Linked DNA regions of Nothobranchius furzeri. The main gene of each other region encodes a partner of the protein of the gene in region 2 in a complex. Links are inferred from orthologs where the notes say so. Each region holds a gene or a part of one and is shown on either strand. Other genes may lie near its edges. The genes, in order: polr2j, gtf2a1, gtf2f1 and gtf2e2.

The links.
Region 1: gtf2a1 (region 2) and polr2j share a complex: the UniProt entries of both Homo sapiens proteins name them as parts of the TBP-based Pol II pre-initiation complex. The link is inferred for Nothobranchius furzeri from reciprocal best matches to the Homo sapiens genes GTF2A1 and POLR2J.
Region 3: gtf2a1 (region 2) and gtf2f1 share a complex: the UniProt entries of both Homo sapiens proteins name them as parts of the TBP-based Pol II pre-initiation complex. The link is inferred for Nothobranchius furzeri from reciprocal best matches to the Homo sapiens genes GTF2A1 and GTF2F1.
Region 4: gtf2a1 (region 2) and gtf2e2 share a complex: the UniProt entries of both Homo sapiens proteins name them as parts of the TBP-based Pol II pre-initiation complex. The link is inferred for Nothobranchius furzeri from reciprocal best matches to the Homo sapiens genes GTF2A1 and GTF2E2.

The regions. Positions count from the first base shown.
Region 1 is NC_091743.1:77,207,407-77,212,446, forward strand, and holds polr2j (DNA-directed RNA polymerase II subunit RPB11-a), read right to left. Parts: upstream 3,207-5,040; 5' UTR 2,989-3,206; coding exon 2,846-2,988; intron 2,295-2,845; coding exon 2,186-2,294; intron 1,452-2,185; coding exon 1,350-1,451; 3' UTR 1,288-1,349; downstream 1-1,287. Other genes in the region: deoxynucleotidyltransferase terminal-interacting protein 1, read left to right, coding at 1-5, 223-283, 377-448, 622-677, 855-963; protein phosphatase 1 regulatory subunit 15B, read left to right, coding at 4,244-5,040. UniProt on the Homo sapiens protein: Core component of RNA polymerase II (Pol II), a DNA-dependent RNA polymerase which synthesizes mRNA precursors and many functional non-coding RNAs using the four ribonucleoside triphosphates as substrates.
Region 2 is NC_091742.1:19,637,093-19,642,732, reverse strand, and holds the start of gtf2a1 (transcription initiation factor IIA subunit 1), read right to left. Parts: upstream 3,654-5,640; 5' UTR 2,676-3,653; coding exon 2,646-2,675; intron 2,180-2,645; exon of another isoform or gene 2,064-2,179; intron 1,407-2,063; exon of another isoform or gene 1,279-1,406; intron 1-1,278. Other genes in the region: N-acetyl-D-glucosamine kinase, read left to right, coding at 4,066-4,236, 4,306-4,393, 4,466-4,563, 4,644-4,722, 4,803-5,002. UniProt on the Homo sapiens protein: TFIIA is a component of the transcription machinery of RNA polymerase II and plays an important role in transcriptional activation. TFIIA in a complex with TBP mediates transcriptional activity.
Region 3 is NC_091752.1:52,161,926-52,167,542, forward strand, and holds the start of gtf2f1 (general transcription factor IIF subunit 1), read right to left. Parts: upstream 3,774-5,617; 5' UTR 3,683-3,773; intron 3,164-3,682; 5' UTR 3,146-3,163; coding exon 3,134-3,145; intron 2,957-3,133; coding exon 2,910-2,956; intron 2,779-2,909; coding exon 2,706-2,778; intron 2,597-2,705; coding exon 2,403-2,596; intron 2,091-2,402; coding exon 1,920-2,090; intron 1,844-1,919; coding exon 1,638-1,843; intron 1,551-1,637; coding exon 1,403-1,550; intron 437-1,402; coding exon 381-436; intron 304-380; coding exon 172-303; intron 1-171. UniProt on the Homo sapiens protein: TFIIF is a general transcription initiation factor that binds to RNA polymerase II and helps to recruit it to the initiation complex in collaboration with TFIIB. It promotes transcription elongation.
Region 4 is NC_091747.1:77,634,694-77,639,584, reverse strand, and holds part of gtf2e2 (transcription initiation factor IIE subunit beta), read right to left. Parts: intron 3,029-4,891; exon of another isoform or gene 2,888-3,028; intron 2,495-2,887; coding exon 2,412-2,494; intron 1,881-2,411; coding exon 1,773-1,880; intron 1-1,772. UniProt on the Homo sapiens protein: Recruits TFIIH to the initiation complex and stimulates the RNA polymerase II C-terminal domain kinase and DNA-dependent ATPase activities of TFIIH. Both TFIIH and TFIIE are required for promoter clearance by RNA polymerase.

The DNA.
Region 1 (5,040 bases), on a different chromosome or scaffold from region 2:
AACAAGTGAGTCATCACCAAGTTAAATTCTTATTTTCACATAAATACAAGATAAACAGAATGTAATGCATGCAAAGGTTCACATCCCAGACAAGGGAATTGAACAGACGGGTAAAGGTTTCAGTATCTTTAATGACTCCATATATGATCAAAATGCTTTTGATGCTCAAACACAAACAGCCTCAAAAGAAGTGAGTCATCAGCTGCTGTGATGTCATCACAGGGCACTAGGGATGGGTGGGACCAGAGGACGGATCTATATTAAACACGCTGACCTGTTCAAGGTAACTCCTGACATCAGGTGTCTGCTGGACCTAGTAAGGGTCAGGGGACTGTTTCCTGTGATTAGTAAAAAAAAAAAAGTGTGTGTGTTTCAGTATGCAGCAGATTCTAAGGATAAGCAGTGGTTGGCAGAGAGACATCACATGAGGGCAACAGGAGGAAAGATGGTGAGAATCTGCACACGCACGTCAGTCAAATGGCCACACCCACTTTTAGCTGCTGACCTGATCACTGCAGGTGATCGCCTGAATCAGTCATCAGATGAAGTTTGTGTGGCAGTGCATCATGGGTAGTTTAAAACCTATTTAACAATTGTGTGTGTGTGTGTGCATACCGGCAGGCTTACCTTCTGATTGAAGAGGACATCCAGGATTTGTCTCACAGCGATGAGTACAAGTTAGTATCCAACCTGAAACACAAACTTCTGGATCCAGCTGCAGAAAACAGTTTAATCACTAGAACAGAACCAGCTACCAGTTTTATTGACCTTATTCTAGCATTTGTTGTTCTGATGATGTAGTTGATAGCTGGTGAGATGTGTGTGGTTGCCGTGGTAACTTGCATCCCTTTTAGGGACTGTCCGGATGTCAGGATGGACGAGTTGAAGCCGTTCTCCGTTCCTCCGTGGATGGTGGAGAAGATGCAGCGAGCCATGGAGGCTCAGAGAGACTCTGACCCCTGATGGTCACATGATCAGGGGCCACACGGCATGTGACATCACAAAATCAGATTTTTTTTATTTTTTACTGCTTTTCTTTTAAAAGAATATTCAATTAAATCTGATTGACAACTATTTTGTTTTGTTTGATATAGTTTAAATTCTTAGAGGTGACATCACTTCCTGAAGATCAGCTGATCAATGCTAGAATTAACAGGTGAAGATTTCCATACCAGCTGTTCCTTTGGACATCTGAGTGGGATCAGATCTAGTTCCAAACCCTATTTTTAATAGTGTTTGGCAATTTTGTCGAAATACTTGTAAAAGGTATTGACTAAACACAGAATCTGACATCTTAAGTTTATTTAGAAAAACAAAACAACAAAATGAGGTGAGGTCAGAGGTCAGGGTCACTCGATGCCTTCCTGTTTGTCTTTGATGGCAACTCTGAAGCGTTCTTCCAGCAGAGACAGCTCACTGATCAGATCTGTGATGGCATTGGTGAATGCTTCCTGTGGAGGAAATGACATCACATTTGGTTAGGTTTCCAATTTCTATCATTATTGTGTCTCAACCAATCAAGACACAAAACATATGAGAAACAAATCCAGACCCACTTGGGTCCAACAGCATCATGAGGCTTAGACCACCAACATGTATAAAGACCAGCTGGAGGACAGTGCAGAAGTTGAAGCTGAAAGATCTGAAAAGCCTCCAGAGGCTGGCTCCAGTAGAGGTTTTATGCCCCAACCCCTCTATCTAAACCAATGAGAAATGATCTTGTTTAAGAACACAGCTTACACCATCTTGACTCCTGTTGGTTTGCGTCCTGCCGGCAATGCGGACCAAAGCTCCGACACCGGTCATACAGGGACCTAACAGCCCGTGTCAGAGGGCCTGGTACCCCATGCTCCTGGACTACCCCCCACAGGGCCCCCTGAGGAACACAGTCGAACACCTTCTCCAAATCCACAAACACATTTAGATTGGCTGGGTGAACTCTAACGCACCCTCCAGGACCCCCCTAAGGGTACAAAGCTGGCCCAGTGTTCCACGATCAGGATGAAAACCACATTCGTCCTCCTGAATCTGAGGTTCGACAATACGACGGACCCTAAATAAAATATATATATAAAAAAAAAAATATATATATATATATATATGCATGCACACATTCCTTCACTTCTCTGGTGAAGTCCCTACAGCCATCTTTACTTTATTTGGTGTTGAAGACCTGATGGGTTACCTGTGGACTGTAGTCAGGTGTGGTCTGCACTCGGATGACGATCTTGTGCTCAAGAGGATGAGGAACTTTGTAACCCGCGAACAGAACCTGAGGATCCTTCAGCAGCTGACTGACACACAAAAACACACAATTAGGGGCCACCAGACAGGACACCTGTGTCAGAGCTCCTCCCACAGGCGAAGGCCGGCTGCTGTCAGGTTTTTTTTTCTTTCCAATATCAAATTGTGTCCTTGAGCTCAGATGATGTTCTCCAGTGTGTGTGTGTGTGTGTTTTACGTCCAGATGATGTGCCCCAGTGTGTGTGTGTCTTACGCCCAGATGATGTTCCCCAGTGCGTGTGTCTTACGCCCGGATGATGTTCCCCAGTGTGTGTGTGTGTGTGTGTGTGTGTGTGCGTGTCTTACGCCCGGATGATGTTCCCCTGTGTGTGTGTGTGTGTGTGTGTGTGCGTGCGTGCGTGTGTGTGTGTGTGTGTGTGTGTGTGTGTGTGTGTGTGTGTGTGTGTGTGTGTGTGTGTGTGTCTTACGCTCAGATGATGTTCCCCTGTGTGTGTGTGTGTTTTACGCTCGGATGATGTTCCTCAGTGTGTGTGTGTATGTGTGTGTGTGTTTTACGCTCGGATGATGTTCCTCAGAGTGTGTGTGTGTGTGTGTGTCTTACGCTCGGATGATGTTCCCCAGTGTGTGGTCTTCCTTGTTCAGAGTGAACAAACACGCGTTCGGGACCTTGGTATCTTTACTGATGCCGATCTTTTTCTCTCCTTCAAAGAGCAGAAACGACTCGAAGGCTGGAGGTGCGTTCATGTTTGTGCTGGAGCAAAGAACCCCGAACCGAACCACTAGGATACTTCCGCTCAGCTTTCTTTGTCTGGTTTAAAGACTGTTAGGAAATCAGCTTTGTGTGGCATTACCGCCACCTGCAGCACGATAAGCGAAACTGCATATTTAAATCAATAATAGAAATTTGCAGCACGTAGAAAATGTTTACTTTCACAATATTAGGATAATACATGTTTGACCTAAACACGGTTCATGTAAAATTTGCAGCATTTTTTTGTTTAATAAAAGCTAGGACCTGAACAAAATACATCAAACACAGTTCATTTTAACCAGAAACACACGTTTCAGTGTCACTCTCTGCTTTTCTGCAATTTACCAGGTGATTAGCCAAAACGCTGCCCATGGCACCCCTGATGGTACCAGATGTCACCTTAAGGTGGTGTTACCATCTGGTCTCCTCAATGCACCCATGACTCAGAGGAGCTATACCTTTACAGCGTGTGACGCCATGTCCTATTTTTTCCTCCTATAGCATAAATAATTACTTTATATTAATGAGATTCGTGTAGGAGTGCATCGAGAGTAAAATAAAAAATGGCTCCCTCTGAAAAAGAACTGGAGAAACTTTCCGCGCCTCCGCTTCTGCCGCGCGTTCGTGCCGCTCCGTGCCGCGCCGCCAACCGTCTGCCGTTTACCCGGAAAAGGAAGACGCGGGGCTTCTGCTGATGGTCTTCTGACTTTCTGATGAAATCTCCCACTGCAGCCATATAGACAGACTCACGGAGTTGTGCGGGGGCCAAAACTCCTCTCTGAACGGATACCGGGCAGTATTACCGGTGGGAAGAACTCCCTTCCATCAACAGTCGACGAAACCAACCAGAAAGCGGAATTTAAATCGATAATTTTAAGTCGTCGCTGGGAAGTAAACTAACCGCCGTTTGCTTCTCGTGCTAAGCTAACCTGCTAACCCAGCAGAACCTCCCACCCGCGATAAGCCCCGACAGGATGGCTCGTTTTTCCGCTTCACATTGGGACTTATCATCGTTTCACGGCTCTAGCATGTTCAGCTCGGCTCAGTTTTCCAGCTCCGGTACCACACGGAGGAAGTCTAACCACCACTCTCAGCGGAATGTCGCCGGCTCCGGGCTTATGGACGTTATCTTTTGGGTTCCTGGCGGCCACTTTAACATGTTCTAGTGAGGTTTGACAGCTGTCAGTGTAACTTGCTAAAACCGCTGCTGTTTCAGGGAAATTCATTTGTGCACTTTAAGTAGATAAAATGTTCAGAAACATAAACGCCGAAGAATGTACGTGTGGAGGAAAACGCTCGTCCCACCCACCCGGCCCCGCGGTCACATCGGTCGGACAGGATAGCCAGGACAGCTCGTGGATCCGTCTGCTGTCAAGGCCCGCGCTGTTGCTGCGGCGGAAACTCCGCCAGTGGAACATCGCTCCGGCGGAGCTCAGAAGCAGCTTGATGAGTGAAGAAAGTGAGACTTTAAGACAGTTAAATGGCATGATGCCCCTCAGCCAGTCCGCACCTGCTCACCTGACCCACCTGCAGTGTCAGCACGAGGGGGCAACCGGCCTGCTGGAGTCATGGGTCAGCAGGTCCGCTGCGTCTCTGCGGGACTGTCAGAGCCCCGGGGAGATGGAGCTCTGCCAGCAAATACCGAGCGTATATGTTTCCTCTGTCGGGACTTTTTTTACCCAGGTTCAGTTGATCTCTCAGGAACACATCGGAGGAAAGGTGTGTGTGCCAGGGAGCTTCCCGGTAATGGGGGGCTCCACAGGTAAAGGTGGACCATGGTGGAGGGGTAGCATTCTGTGGGGCGAGGAGAGCCCAGCCAGGGGGCTGCTGTCGGGATATTACCGGCCTGAGGAGGGGGCAGAGACATACTATCTTTGTCCTCAGGCTGCAGCCCAGACACATGTTGCTGAAAAGAGCTCAGTGTTGGAGGTGACGAAGGGAGAAAACGCTGGACCCCCCCACCACAAAGAACCAGCCAACAATGGAGGCCTTCATACAGTCCAGAACATAGGGAGCTGCAGTGAGGGGGGGCATCCCTCCCCTGA
Region 2 (5,640 bases):
TATTACTCAAGTAAGGGTAAAAAAGTATCTAAAGGCTACTTGAGTACTGAGTATCATCTGATGTAATATTTTTAAAATGATGACATCAAACAGACAAAAAATAAGTAGTTATGGGCAAATATTGGTATTTTAAAGACAAAAGGGGAAAATGTTAACAAATAAACAACATAATTACAAAATAACACATTTTAGGTAAAATTTAGACAAACTGAGGACAATATTTTCCTGATATACAGGGTTTATTTAGTTGTCTGAAAATGTAACACGCTTAAAAAAATACCGCGATAATACCGAAAACAGTGATAATTTTGTTCACAATAACCGTGAGGTTACATTTTCACACCGTGACAACCCTACTTGCAATAAATAAAAACATCTCAGGAACAAAATATTCTAAAACAAATAAATAAATGAATAAGAAATGGCAATCAGTAGATCCCTGAATCAGCAGATAGAGGCTAACTCTGGTTGTTGCTATCCATCCAGATTAAGTGCCGTCCACCTTCGAGGTGGGCATATAACCTATGAGAACCGACCCGATTGGCCAAATGGGTGAAGAGCTTTGTGTGATTTGTCTAAAACATCATGCTTCCGTTTGACAAAATGCATTATGTTTAACAAACATTTGTGCTGACCTTTCGTTGTGATTTATTTCCATTATTGTCGATATGCGTGTTGCACATACTGACATCGCGGTGATACATTTGCAACCCTACTGTGTAGCATTTGTTTTAACAGGTTACAAAGTAAATTATAAGTTTATTGATAACCTATCATCTTGTCTTTATTAAATGCCACATAACTTATCACATTTCAAACTTAATGATGGGTATTTTACAGCATCTGGTGCAGTAAGCCACTTTTAGGCATGACACGATTCGTCATTTGCGGAAGTCCTACACAATACATTTAAAGGCACACCTGTAACGACACTAATGAACTATCATACACTAAACTAATATCCCTGCCATCAATAATAAAACAAAAGCCAGCAAAAATAATGTGACACAGGTTTTATTTTGAAATATACCAGACGCACTTGTCACTTCCTGTCCGGCTCATGACATCTTTAACTTCATGAGGATGAAATTTGTGTCAATGTTACCTTCTTTCCAACATGATTATTTGACTGTAAAATCCCTTAATATTGTACCTTTAAAGTACTTTAAAACCGGACACACACACACACACACACACACACACACACACACACACACACACACACACACACACACACACACACACACACACTTACTTATTTTTACATATTTGCATTACCGGTCTGATCTTGGAGAGGTTGTACTGAAACTACATTTCATCGCACCAAGACGCTGGTTCAATGACAAATAAAGCAATCCTGTCCTAAGGGCACTGAACTAATACTTGGCTCTTCTATAAATTTTGTGGCCCCTTGATGGGCCCCGTACCCTGAAAAATCTCAGATACGCCCCTGGCATAAATCAAGATTAATGTTTCACAGCTCCATTATAATCCAAACTGTGCTTCAGCATCCGGATCTTATCCACAACCGCGTCTGTCAACATAAACAATTACATAGATGTCCGCCGGGACTGCGTTACTAGCTCAACCGTAGCGTTCAAGTCTGCGGAGACTTTCCAGCCAAGATACCGCCCTGCCTCGATGTCCGCGGTGGACACCTCGGTGCGTCCTTCCCTCCCCCTCGGACAGTCGGTTCCTCCACAAATTAAAGCTCAGTGAAGTGTTTATATGCGGGCCGGTGACGTAGCGTCGTGTAGCACCGTCCCATCCCAGCAGTCTATATTAGACAGCCAATATGGCGGTATAAAGCCAGCCACCGGCAGGGAGGAGGGCCAGAACCGAGCGAGACGGGAGAGGTGGAAGCCATTTTACGGAGCGGCCCCGCTCACAGAGCCGTTTTCTTTCAGCGAAATGAGGCCAAATAAAGAAAGAGGCTCTCGTTTTATGCGTTTAATTGCCAGTTTTGACTCGGTGGCTTTGTTTTGGGAGCAGGACATCGGAGATATCATGGGTCAAAAATGGGTTTCGGGACGCTTTTCTGCGCCTCTGGTCCTGGAATGGTGGACCACGACGAGGCAGCGCCGCGGACTGCGTCCAAGACTTTGCGCTAAAATGGCTTTTTAATATCAGATCCTCTAGTTGAATTTACTTGGAAGTGGATGTTGACGATGTGCTTTGGGTACGTCTGTTGATTAGATGTGCGGTTTCCAATATTTAAGCTCAAATACGTCAGCTGGCTAACAAATTCGTCCAATAATCCACCCTGGGCTAAATGAACGGCACTAAGATCAAACACTGACTCCAAATGATAAACCAAGACTCGTAACAGCCACTGATAAATCACACTAGCGCTAAACAAAGTCTCAACCTGAAGTAATTACAAATTTTCACTTTAACCAGCATTATTTAATGTAAAATCATTCAAAACTTGCCTCGGCAGAAGCTTCTTCAGTGCCATGTTTTCATTTGAATATCTAGTTTCGAATTATGGCTTATTCAAAGTTAGTATTTCCTTTATAATTTCACTCAGGAGTGATGAGCTAGTTCAAGCATATTCATCTGAAAAAAACCCATCTCCTCCACATCCTCTAGACAACTTTACCCCCGTTTCCCCCGACTGGCAGTCCGTTGAGATTGATCCTTACCACTGGGTTCGAGTTAGCCGAGCTCGCCATTATACGCGTAGTGTAAAAACCACACGGAAATAGGCGAGAGACAGAGCCAAAAATGACCAAAAAAAGACTTAAAACAACTGGGAAAGATCGTTTAGAACAGCCGGCATCACTTTTGTAAATAAAACACAGTTTTCACGGTCTTATTTACAGTCCCGGGCTGCGACTCCCCAGCCGTCTTCCTCTCGCCGCTGTCCTGCTTTATATACTGAGCGAAGGAGCTGCGAGTGCGCGAGACATAGGGCAGGTTCAGACAGAAAATCTCGCGAGATTTTTGCGGAATTTGATGACTAATCAGGGTGGCTGCTTCTGGGAAATGTAGTTTTAAAGCGGAAAGCCTGACATTAAAGTTTACCAGGCTTTTTAATGCAGCGTGCTCTGCATTATTATTGGTTCAGTTAGTTTAACGCTAAAGAATACGATTTCACTGCCAGGAGGAGTATTTGATAATTTGATATTGAGTTATATAGAAATAATTAATGCTTTTAAATGTGAGAATATTTTGTTAAATTGATAAAATATGAATCTTTAATTGGATAATACAGTATAGATTTGTTTAGGGTATTTCTATTTTAAATATCATTATTATTATTATTATTATTATTATTATTATTTTCTCCAAGCCTTTTTACTAATAAAAATGTTATTATCCAATTATCCACCGAGTAGAATGAAACGCTTTAAGCGCTTGAGCAGTTCTTCGCCCAACAGAAAAGGAAAATCCTCAATGTCAGACACAAACACTGGGTGTCTCGCAGACATGCCACCCACCGAAACTCCAAGGAAAGCTACAGACGACAAGGCCATTGGATCTGGAGTTAAAGGATTGAGATCCACGGCGCAGGGTCTGAGCGTTAAGACACGACCCTGTTCAGCTGCACGCAGCCAAGCAGACACTCTCCCAGAGAGAACGGGACATGATGGTGAGGTCCGAACCAGAGTCCAGGATAGCCCCACAGCCAAGCGATCCCACAAGGTTCACTGGGATGTGAGGTTTCTCCTTGGGAGCTTTACGGATGATATCACAGAAAAACTTAAGTGGAGGTTTGTCTGGTAAGTAAGGATTACCTGACCTGCTAACAGGTGCATTGGATGCTCGAGGTTTAGAGCTAACGGAAGCAACCTCACCAAACCTCACAGTTGCCACAGGACACACCGTTGGGGCATGTTTCAGTTTTGGAGGACTCGTCGTTGCGACTGAGTCATGTGCAGGTTCAACAGGTGCAGGAGGATGTGCACTCTGTTCTGCAGAAGAGAGGAGAAGAACTCTGTTAGTCTTTGATGGGTCTTCATCCAAGACATGAAGGGCATATTTTAACGCTTCGCGCATGGTCGCAGGAGGCCTGCAACCGGACTCAGCTCTTGACCTTGAAGCAGCAGGGCTGTGGTCAGCATGGTCGCAGCACGGCACAGTGGTTACCACAGTGATCTTAATCATATCTCTTCTTCAGCTTTCTGGATCGCTCGTTTGGCCGTGAAGACGGTGTTTGACGCTCAAGACAACTTGGTGGCGCCTCCTTATGACATCACATGGGTTACAGAAGCCATGGAGGAGAACTTCCAGGTCAGACAGCAGCAACACAAAGACAAATCTGTTCTTTTAAACCCAGAATAATTAAAACATTACTCCCAGGTGTTGGATCTGATGGGAATGCTTCCTCACCTCTGCAGGAACTTCCAGAAGTCCCACTTTGCTGGCTTCTGTAAGAAGCTGGCTGAAGGTGAGCAGCAGCAGGACTTCTGCTCAGGTTTCTAGGACAATAGAGTGTCATCCTGAGTGTTTTGTGTCCCAGGTGCGGAGGCTGGGGATGCTCTCAGCCAGCATGTGTTCGCTCAGGTTGGCAGAGTTCTGGCTAAACATGTAGAGTCAGTTTTACCTGCAGCTCAACCGGTGACCACACCTACAAGCCTTCTGGTTTCACTTTTGCATGTATGAAACTGGAGCATTTCTCTTCTGTTTTGTTGTTTAAGGCGTTATTAAGGTGTGAGCGCGGCCTGCCAGTCCTGTGTGTGGGCTCCGTGTGGAAGAGCTGGTCTCTCCTGAAGCCGGGTCTGTGTCGCTGATGGTAATAACGGTCCATGAAACCCTCTGGATGAAGTCTCATCTGCATGTTTTATGTGTTTCTGCAGGGTTCACAGAGGTTCTGGAAAAAGCCGCATCATCAGACAAGTTGAAGGACCGTTTCCATGGCTACAGCCTCCTGACTTTACAGCAGTCCTCTGCTTTGGGCGGAGCTAGCCTTGGGGTTCAGAGTTTAGGTTCCTCCATCCGTATGGATTACTCCACCAATGCTGATGTCTTCTATCAGCACACCTTCAACAGCGGATAGTGACTAAAGCACCAGGCCACTTTAGAATTACTGGAGCTCATAACTCTTTCAATCATGAATGATTTTGCACGTGATTTGATCCAAGGTTTCTTTTTAAAGATTGTTTTATCTTGGCAGCTTCTTTAACAAGAACTGGTGGGACCTGAAGTTTATTGTTCAAACTTTTATGTGATGTTTTGGCCGTGAAAATCCTTGGTTTTCACCAGAATTGGCAAACATAATACATGAACGAAATAGAGCTTGGAACAAGGCAAGAACAACAGAGTTGACTACTGACTGGTCTGTTTTCAGGCAGCTGAGAAAAAAATGTACTTCCCTGATCAAAAAGGCAAAATCTGAATATTTTCTATCAGTCACCACAGAAAATCTTAAAGATCCTCAGAGATTCTGGAAAGTGATCAAGTCTTTTGCTGTGGAAAAGATCTCTCAGGCTCTTCCTACTTTTGTTCTTAGAGATTCAGTTCCAATTTATAACAGACTCGAAATCTTAAATTGTTTTAACGAACATTTTCTTTCGGTGGGTTCCCTGTTTAATTTTGTCGGAACCCCTTTGATAAAATCTGGTATAATACCCCCAAATTTTTCTGGAGCTCCTTTTAACTTTAAACCTTTTACAGTGCATGAAGTTCACAAAGCTT
Region 3 (5,617 bases), on a different chromosome or scaffold from region 2:
AGGAGACTTGCTTTGTCTGTTATACTGCAGTGCCTCTTCTACTTTGAGTGAACCTTTGTTATAACAAACATCAAATTGTTGCTAAGACCTTGGTGCATTCCTTTTATTTTAATTTTCTGAGTTACTCCTTTCAGACAGGAGGGGTCGTAACATCACTCGTGAAGTTCATACCTTTCTTCTTCTTCTTTTCCACCTGAACAGGGGTTTTCTTCCCTTCCTCCTCCTCTTCCTCCTCCTTTGCTTCTTCTTCATTCTTCTTCTCCTCTTCGCTCTCTTCCTCGCTCTCTGATTCCTCATCGATTCCTGCAAACAGACAAATTACTTCAATGAGAAACAAACAAAACTCCTGCAGGAGAATACCAGTATCGTCTCACACCAACCTTTAGGATGCTCTTCCTCTCTGGTGGGTTTCTCGTTAACTTGGTCTTCATCTGGGCTGTTGGGAAAGAAAATAACACATGAACACACAACCATTTCTAAAAGAAAGACACACACACACACAAGCCTTGTTATCAAAATCAGTGCATCTCTAATGACACTGTGTCATAAATGATAGTTGTACCAGAAAATAGTGGAAGTTTGAGACTTTTCTCTACTTAAAGTGCATAAAGTAGCAACAGCATTCTGTGGTCACATGCGGGAACAGCATGTTTCATAACAAACATGTCCGCTCTGAACAGCTGTCGTCAGCCACGGATCAGCACCAGAAGATTCTAGATGAGGAGTTAAGACGAGTCGAATGCAGTAAGTTGATAAGTAGGTAAATACATTTAACTGTAATATCAAGTAGGTCAATTTCATCGTTAGCATTGTTAGCTCAACGTTAGCGTCTAGCCTTTTTTTCCCCCAATATTAGAGTAAAGCAAAAAGATGCTGTGGCTTCTTAAGGGTACAAGAAATAACTTCTGGGTTGCTCCTGTTAACTGGCTTTGGTTCTCAACACAACTTTGGAGCTTTTTGTCTGCTAGTGTCGAATTACAAATGCTGGTGTAGCATCGTTGGCAGATTTGCAACTCTACAGGTTCACATATGATTGGCTCTGCAACCAGGAAGTATGACGGCGGGACAGATTGTAAACGATGACTATGTCCCTCTTCACATCTGACATGTTTCAGTGCAGCTTTCCTTCAGACAGGATTGAGACATTAGCCTGTTTTGTGATTATTTCACTGTAATATTCTAACATGTTGTACCTTTAAAACACCTGACTAGAATCAGACCTCTGTAGGACATGATAAGTAATAAATCCAAACACTAAATCTGATAAGCTGGAGCAGAGAAACATCTAAAACATGCAGGATAGTACTAGGACATGAGTACATAGCTAACATGCTAGCATGAACTAAAGCTAATAAGGGAATGGGGTAAACGGGGAGGGGGTGGTAGGGTAATAAGATCTCACCTGCTTTCATCTGACATATAATCCACTTCCAGACCCTCGTAATCGCCATCATCACTGTCTTCAAGGGCGTCTTTTTCACCACCCTTTTGCTTCTTCTTTGTTTTCGATTTCCCCGCGGCCTTCTTCGTTTTTGCTTTGCTCGCACCGTCTGACACGTTTAAAAAAATGTTTCAAGTTTAGAAAAGTAAAGATGTGAAAATCATAATTACACCACATCCTGTTTTCTTCTCTGTACCTTCTCCTACGCTGCTGTCACTGTCATCACTGCTCATCTCCAGGTCGTCTTCCAGATCGTGAATGAGCAGGTCGCCGCCTCTCCCACCGCCCTTCTTTTTCTTCTTCCCAGATTTTCCTGACTCATCTTCTTCATCGTCGCCACGATCCTGCTCCCGAAGACGTCTCTGAAGCATGATGCTGAAGTGATTTACCACCTTGTTCCGCCTGCAGCAGCAGAGCATGCAACTTTAAGAGATGCTGATGAATTATTAGTTTGTTCCTTCCTTTTTGTTTTCCTCACCTGCCCCACTCTTCCTCAGCCTCTTCAGCAGTCAACGTCCGATGTTTTGCCTGTGGTGTAAAGTTGTACCACCCATGAACAGGAAAGGCTTCAAACGCCCCATCAGGACACTGTGTGAAAATGTAGTAGGAAGCATTTTCTGTGACGCCACCCTTCTTTACCCCTTTGAACCTGTGTACACAGAAAAACAAAGAAAATAGTTTAGTCTGCTAGCCAACAGTAAAAATATTTTTTTTTAGAAATTAAAGTATATATTTAAGACAAAAATAATTACCTTTTCGTTGACAAAAATGTAAGTAATAATATTTGTAGCATATTATAAAAAAGGGAAAAAGTGGATGGAATGACATGAACTCAAACTTGGAGGCAATTTTTAGGATTATAAAATAAAACAAACCAATTAATTTCTGTCTAAAATTCACACTTCATTTCTGAAACTTGTGATTTACTGACATTTTCACTAAAACATCCCCCTTTTCTCACCTTTTGCCAGCTTTGCCATTGACCTTCAGGATCCAAGGCTGGTCCTCAGCTTTGAACTCACGGGTCACAATACCAAACTTCTTCCGTCGTGCTTCCTCACGCTGTTTTTTGCCAAACTCACTGCCCGCACCACTTTCAGGCGTCTCCTCCTCCCCGTATATCCGCCGAGCGCTCATGTCTCTCTCCATACGAGCCTGAAAAGTTAAGGTGAAAATAGAAAATAAGCGATTCCAACATTATGATTGTAAATATCTCTCCAATTTTTAGAAAATAAATGTTTTCATACAAAAGCTTGAAACCCACCTGTGTCCAGGCAGAACAATTTACTTTGTCTCCTGCATTGAAAGCCATTATGTTGTACTTCTTGCTGGTGTTTCTATGGAACAAACAAAAAGATCATTACATTAATTTGCTTTTCTCCACTCTGGGCCTCTTTAGATAAAGGATAACAATCCCATCTGTATCCACACACCGATCATCATGTGGTTTAATACATGTGTTACTTACTTGGGGACTCTCACAGTGTACTCTGTGGTTGAAGAACTGCTGCTCCCCTGTAAATAAACAACGATTTGTCTCTGCAAATTTCAATTTCTACCACTGTAATCCAGAGATTAACACGTGAGCACAAATGTTTATTTGTTTATTCAACAAAAATGAGTCAGATTACCAGAATAATGCATTCTAGCATTCTAAATATAAAAAAAGGTTCTAATTAGGAATGTACTTACCAGTGACGTCATGGCCGTCTATTTGACACGCTGAAAACGCCCAAATAGAATGAAAACACAAAAGGTTACATGAAACAATTGTGCTAAATTCAGCGGCCAACGGTAAATCTCAAGCAGTAGTCTGACAGGTGAAAATCTGGCTCAATACAAACTTTCTTAAAGGCTCAGATATTTTGCAGAAGGCGATCATGATTTAAGGTGAATGTTGCTAACAGACATCATCTTTGTAAATACCAAACTTTACAGAGAAAAACACTAATTTTTTCTGACAAACACTTTTCTGGGGTGAAAAAGGTCACCAGAGAGGTTAATTTGAAAATACAAAAAGGCATTGCAACATTTGACAACGTTTGCTCGAGTAATGTTAGCTTCTGTTGCTAAAACAAACGGTATCAAAAAAACGTCATCAAACCGAAACAACAAACAGGCCTAATACTAACATAACTCAACCACCTATGCGCTAAACAGTAATATTTACTCAGACACCTTGTTTAAAACACCAAAAGCAACACGTTAGTAAGTAAGTAAAGAAACGAACTGAATATTTACCAGAATGCTATTTGTTCCGCCAGTCGATGAGTCCGGTAGGAAACATTTACCATCAAGAGAGTTCCTAGCCGTTCACTACGGTAGCCGTGAGGTCTAACGTTTTCTGTCTATGACGTAACCACGTAAAAATAAATAAACAAATGCGCGTGTACACCATAGACTGTACATACACACACACCAGGATAAATATCATTACGTATTTTCACACATGCATCCACTACATTTGAGCGACAAATAACGAGAAACAAAGCAAAAGTCTGCCTTCAACCCTTCTCAAGATTCTCATATTGCAGATATCAGATGTATACTTTTGTGAATGACCGTTCACAACAACCTTGTGCAGTTTTAGTTGATTATTACAAAATAATTGGGGCATAAATTACATGTCTGTTGTGTAAGCGTTTGTTTAAGAATTTTTATTAACATCAACAGAGCTGGCCGGGTACTGTGGAAAGTCATTTCAACATTTAATCAGCAATCAAACCTTTCATTATGTGAAATCAATTCTAGGCTCTACAAGGTGTATCCGTGTGTGTGTGTGAAACCAAGCTAAAGGCCTGTTACCTCCTCTTCTCATGTTTGTGTGTGTGTGTGTGTGTGTGTGTGTGTGTGTGTGTGTGTGTGTGTGTGTGTGTGTGTGTGTGTGTGTGTGTGTGTGTGTGTGTGTGTGTGTGTGTGTGTGTGTGTGTGTGTGTGTCCTGGCTGGAGACTCCTAATCAGTGCTGTCGTAAATTAATGGTGTGCCTTCACTCTGCTGATATGGTTAAAAGAATCATGTTGTGGATATAACCTTTCTTGACCTGAAAAGATGTTGGGAGGAGTTACAAGTGGACCGGACAGAGTGCTTCATGAAGCGGGAAGAGTTACCATGGAGACGAACAGGAGACAAGAAGGAGGGGGAAGCGGAGAGATAAAAAGGGGGGCCCGAGAGTTCTAAGGCTGGGAGTTCGGTTGAGCTCTGTGTTTTTTACCCGCTGCGTCGGGGTGATTCTGTCTGGATCAATCTTTTTTCATCCTTTTTGAATAAAAACCTTGGTTTCTTATTGTGAGAAACTAAAAGGACAACTGTGCCTCGGGGCCTTCGTTGGTGTCGGGTAACCGGACCAGAAGTCGATGGTGATCAACACCCTGTCCTGTCCTGTGGTCGACGCCTCTTCATGTTCTGAAGTCGACGCCTCCTCGTGTTCTGAAGTCGACGCCTCCTCATGTTCTGAAGTCAACGCCTCCTCGTGTTCTGAAGTCGACGCCTCCTCTTGTTCTGAGGTCGACGCCTCTTCCTGTCCAAGGGTCGATGCCTCTTCCTGTCCAAGGGTCGACGCCTCCTCTGAAGTCGACGCCTCATCTGAAGTCGACTCCTCATCTGAAGTCGACACCTCATCTGAAATCGACGCCTCATCCGAAGTCGACGCCTCATCCGAAGTCGACGCCTCATCCGAAGTCGACGCCTCATCCGAAGTCGACGCCTCATCCGAAATCGACGCCTCATCCGAAGTCGACGCCTCATCTGAAGTCGACGCCTCATCCGAAGTCGACGTCTCATCTGAAGTCGACACCTCATTTGAAGTCGACGCTCTCTCCACTCCAGAGGTCGACGCTCTCTCCACTCCAGAGGTCGACGCTCTCTCCACTCCAGAGGTCGACGCTCTCTCCACTCCAGAGGTCGACGCTCCCTCTGGTCCGACGTCTCCGTCGTCTCCAGTCCCGTGGTCGACGCTGTCTCCAGTTCCAGTGGTGGTTCCAGAGGTCGCACCGTATCCGGTCCAGCCCTTCCACGAGGCTCCAATCCAGTCCGTCCTAGAGACTTTGTCCCGGTCCAGCCTGCAGAGACTTTGTCCCCGGCCCAGCCTTCAGAGACTTTGTCCCCGGCCCAGCCTGCAGAGACTATGTCCCCGGCCCAACCTGCAGAGACTTTGTCCCCGGTCCAGCCTGCAGAGA
Region 4 (4,891 bases), on a different chromosome or scaffold from region 2:
TCAACAGGTAAACAGTGGAGAGCAGCCAAAATTGGTGTCACGTGCTCATGCTTCCTTTTGCAGTCCAAGAATCTAGCTGCAGCATTCTGGACAAGCTGCAATCGGGCTACAGTACCCTTACACCAAATAAAACGGAATCGCAATAGTCGAGTCGTGAGGTAATAAAAGCATGAACAACAGTCTCAAGGTCACGTCTAGATAAAAATGGCTTTACTTTAGCCAAACGTCTTAAATGATAAAATGAAGAGGATACTACAGTACCCACATGAGCATCCATGCAGAATGCACTGTCCATCTTCACGCCAAGGTTGACTGCTGAAACACCCATACAGGAGTTCAGTTTACCGCAGTCTACGTTGGAAAAATCTAAATGTTCACTCAGTCCAAACAACAGTGCCTCTGTTTTTTTTCCCATTGAGACACAGGAAGTTTTCTGCCAACCATATCTTAATTTCTGCCAAACAATCTCAAAAATCTTTATCGTGTGATCACCGGCGCCATCTAGAGGTAAGTACAATTGGCAGTTGTCGGCAAAGAGATGGAATCCAATTCCAAACTTTTGTAGAATGTCCCCCAATGGGAGAATATAAATGGGAAACAGCAACGGTCCCAGTATAGAACCCTGCGGTATCCCCCAAGGCAGAAGTGAGAGGGCCGATGAGGATAAACCAAATGTCTGCTCATTGTCCCCAAGAGCATGGTTCCCCTGACTAGTGAGAGCATGGTTCCCCTGACTAGTAAACAACTTGGTCATTTAACCTCTGATGTCAAGTTAAACTTGAGGAATTTGGGTGTTGTTTCTTCTCTTCAAGGCCACTCAAACCACTCAAAAACATTGGTCCGAAACATTTTCACCACTTAAGAAATATCTCCAAACTGTGAAGGTTGGTGTCAAAACATGAACTTGAATTAGTTATCCATGCCTTTATCTCCTCTCGTCTAGATTACTGTAACACACTCTTCACATGTTTTAACAAAAAAAACCTTGACCACCTTGCTTCAACCCCACCGCTCAGGTCCACAAACCAGAACCTTCTAGAAGTACCAAAGACCAGTCGAGGTGATCGCTCCTTCCAGGCTGTCACCCCCCGACTTTGGAATGATCTTCCTTTATCCTTCCATAGTATTCAGTCTGGTAAACTTTTAAAAAACAGCTGAAGACTATTTTATTTTAAGCTGCTTTAACCTAAAACTTTTGTCTTCTTTTTAAATTCAGACTTATAATCATATTTCATTTGTTTTATGATATTTATGATCATTTTATAACTTTATAACTTAGTTTTTTCTGGTTTTAATTTATTTCTGTTTTGATTAAAATCATTATGATTTGATCATTATGATTTTATGACCATATGACTCATTTTCTTTCTTATCTACGTGAAGCACTTTGTGATTCTCTTTCTGTGATGAGTGCTATATAAATAAAATGTACTTACTTTGATGTTTAAAAGACAAAAAATAATAAGAGGTAGTAGCTCAACTTTTTACTGAGTGAACAAAGCTGTATACTTACAATACATATCTATTATCGGAACAACTATTTAGTTGCAAATATGCCCTGTGTTACCCAGCCATTTTTAAAATTTAACATGAATGTATTTTTTTCTCACAAATTAAATATGATTTCACAAAAAAATTGCATTTTTATAGCAAATAAGTGTTGCCCCCAGTGGCACCCCAGTGAGATACAAGCTTTAGTCTCTTTTCCTAGTTCATCTTTTCAGTTTTAAACATATTTAACAAAAGTGGAAGAGATCATGTCAGGAGCTCACCTCGGTCATAAGCCACTGTTTCTGCTTCATACTGATGTCAAGAAGTTTGGTCTCATCCAGGATCTCTTCTAGAGTCAGGAAGTGTGTGTCCCCATTTTGGTGCCTCGTCTGTGAGAGAAAGGCAGAATTTCAAATATGGTTATCAGCTTTATGATATCCATGATGGAAATTGAGAGATGGGTTTATTCCTCTTTACCTAACACTGACAGCTGAAAAATTTGTTAAGCCTTCAATTGCACTTTTAAAATGTCGTGTGCAATTTAAAACTTTCAGCAGATGGCACAAAAAGTGCCCACAATCACAGAAGAGTGGTAAGTGGAGTGTGTGTCAGATAGCGATTTGATAGAGCCACAGCAAGATAAACAAGCTGTTTATGTACCCAAAGAAAGCCTCGAGACCAAATGTTAACACAGCGAACACGACTGACTCATTCAGCTGATACAATACACAACAAATCACGTTTTGGTGGAGCTTTGAAGGTCACGACGACAGTCTAATAGCTCTGCAGAAGGTGTTTTCCGAGTCTATGAGACAAAAACACTCCCATTGTCTCATTTGTGAATGCATACAATACATTCAATTGGATGCTAGTGTCAACAGAGATTTCTGTCCCTAAAATTGTCTTCAAATGTTGGTTACCTTCATGTAATTAACAATTTTGGCCAGGCAGCCAAACTTGTACCCAGAGCTTGCTTTAATGTTGATGTTTCCATTACTGGATTCTGCAGAGAAAAGGAAGGAAAATGTGTTTATTACATGAGAATTTACTGTGGTGAACATAAAGCATTCGGCATGAACACAGAAACCACAGAGCTGCTGAATATTTTCATGCTTCCCTCCTCCGTTGGCCAGGTCTGGACTGAGCATTCACCAATAAAAGCTGGAAACAGACACTGAATCATGAATGATTCATGCTGTGGGCGTGGGGGCTCTGTGGCTGTTCGCTGCACAGTGGGCTGGGTGCTGAAACCTGACAGGGCCACTAGCGAATGGCGCTGGGGTGGGGTAAAAGTAGAGAGCCAATGATCAGCTCAATGTGTTCAGTGGAGACATGAAGAGCTGCAAGAGTGATGGTGATGGAGGAGAAGGGAGGAGAAGAAGGGGAGCGGACGCACGGATGACGACTGGAAGTGCGCGAGTGCACCAAGAACAGGTCGATGCGTGACTGTGGGCGAGGGAGAGAGGAAGACAGAGAGCCAGAAGCAGGGGAGTGATCCGTTAACCTGCATCTTCAAAAGACAGAGCCAGGCACGCAGGTGAGTGGCTTTATTTTTCAGGGATGGATGAACCAAATGTTGATTAAATTATGTATAAAAATCCAAGGAAATAATCTTGGCTTCAGTCTGGAGCTACGGCAGTGTGTTTTCCAGCATTTAGTAGATGAATCTTAACAAATGCTTACATGCAAAAAACATGTTTTACTAACCCAACCCCTCTGATTGGATCTCTTGAACCAAATCCTCATATTTAGCAAAAAAAAAAAAAAAAAAAAGGGTTGAATTTGTCAGGTCAGATCCTGAGGCCTAGAACTGCATAAAAAACATCTGGATTAAATAAACATGGACCTGTCTGCACTCTTCCCTGCTCGAATAACAAACATCAGAATGTGTGTGTTTTCATGAGCATCACTGCTTTATCTGTTAGAGCAGCTGTAAGAAATTCTCAACACAAACCTAAAATATGTTTCTATCTAGACTCTGATTTTACTATACGAGTAGTTTACGTTCTAACAGTTCCTAAATAGAAGTACTTCCTTTGTATTTGTCTTTAATGAAAGAAACTAAAACCACACACAGTTCTGTCTAATAACTGCCATCATGTTAATGTTTTCAGTTAGGCTGGATGATTCGCTAGAACTGCACAGATTTTAGTTTTGAAACCCATTTTCAATTTTCATTATTGCCATTTAAATTCTGATTACCCTAAAAACATATGATTCTAGAAAAATAAGTTTTAAAAAGATAAAAATCTTTTGCGTAAATTGGTACTTCCTCATACAGAACAAGAAAAGTGTCTCAATTCTTTACTTCTGCTTGGTTCATGGACCAAATAAAGGAAAAAAGGTTCATTTTTTAAATTGGCCAGTAAGTGAATTTGGGCTGATTCTGACAACCGGACTTCTTTTAGACGTGTATCTAAATGATACCAGATTGTTAACAGTTAGAACATGTTACCGATCTGTCAGAGTAAAGGAAGGGCAGCATCATTTATGACAGCGGTTGTGAAAGTTAGAAATAAGATGTACAACTTGACCTTGAATAACAAAATAAAATAAACAGACGAGGATGGAAATAATAGGACCCTGCTGTGGGTCACGAAACGCCAAGTTTGGCATCTAAAATTAAAAACTGTCACAACATATATTGTGACATATGTTTTTGCCCAATCACTCACTCCTAATGCAAAAAAATATGTTTATGTATTTAGCAGACGCTTTTGTCCAAAGCGACTTACAAGTGATAATCAGCATGTTGCCCTTGAGGCTAACAACAACAATAACAACAACAACATTGACATCAGTCATGGAGAGGAGGGAACAAGGAGTGGACGGTAGAGAGGGGGGACGGGTGCAGGGAGGGTGCTAGTTTAGAAGATGCTCTCTGAAGAGCAGGGTCTTCAGGAGTTTCTTGAAAATTGAAAAGGAAGCCGCAGTTCTGGTAGTGCTTGGAAGGTCATTCCACATTTGTGGAACGATGCATGAGAAGAGTCTGGATTGTCCTGAGCGTGGTGTAGGCACTGCTAGCCGACCATCCTGTGATGACCGGAGCGGCCGGGCCGAGACATAAGCCTTTGCAAGAGGATTCAGGTAGATGGGAGCCGTACCGTAAATAATACGAGTGAAGATGGCTTTCATCTAGAAATGGGCAATGCCTAATTTAAGCATTGATATTCTTCAAAAATACTTCCTCTGTGGGGGCCCTCTGCCCCGGGAGCGGTGGTCGACTGTAGCTTCCTGGCCGCTCTATAGGTGGGGGGCTATGCTCCCCCTCCACTGAGCGCCCTGACTTAGTGTGGAACACCTGATGCTGCCGGGACAGACGGCTCCTCTGATGGCGTTTCCTTGCGTTACCTTACTTGGCTCATCTGGACTCAGCCTAATATAATTTTTACTTGTGTGC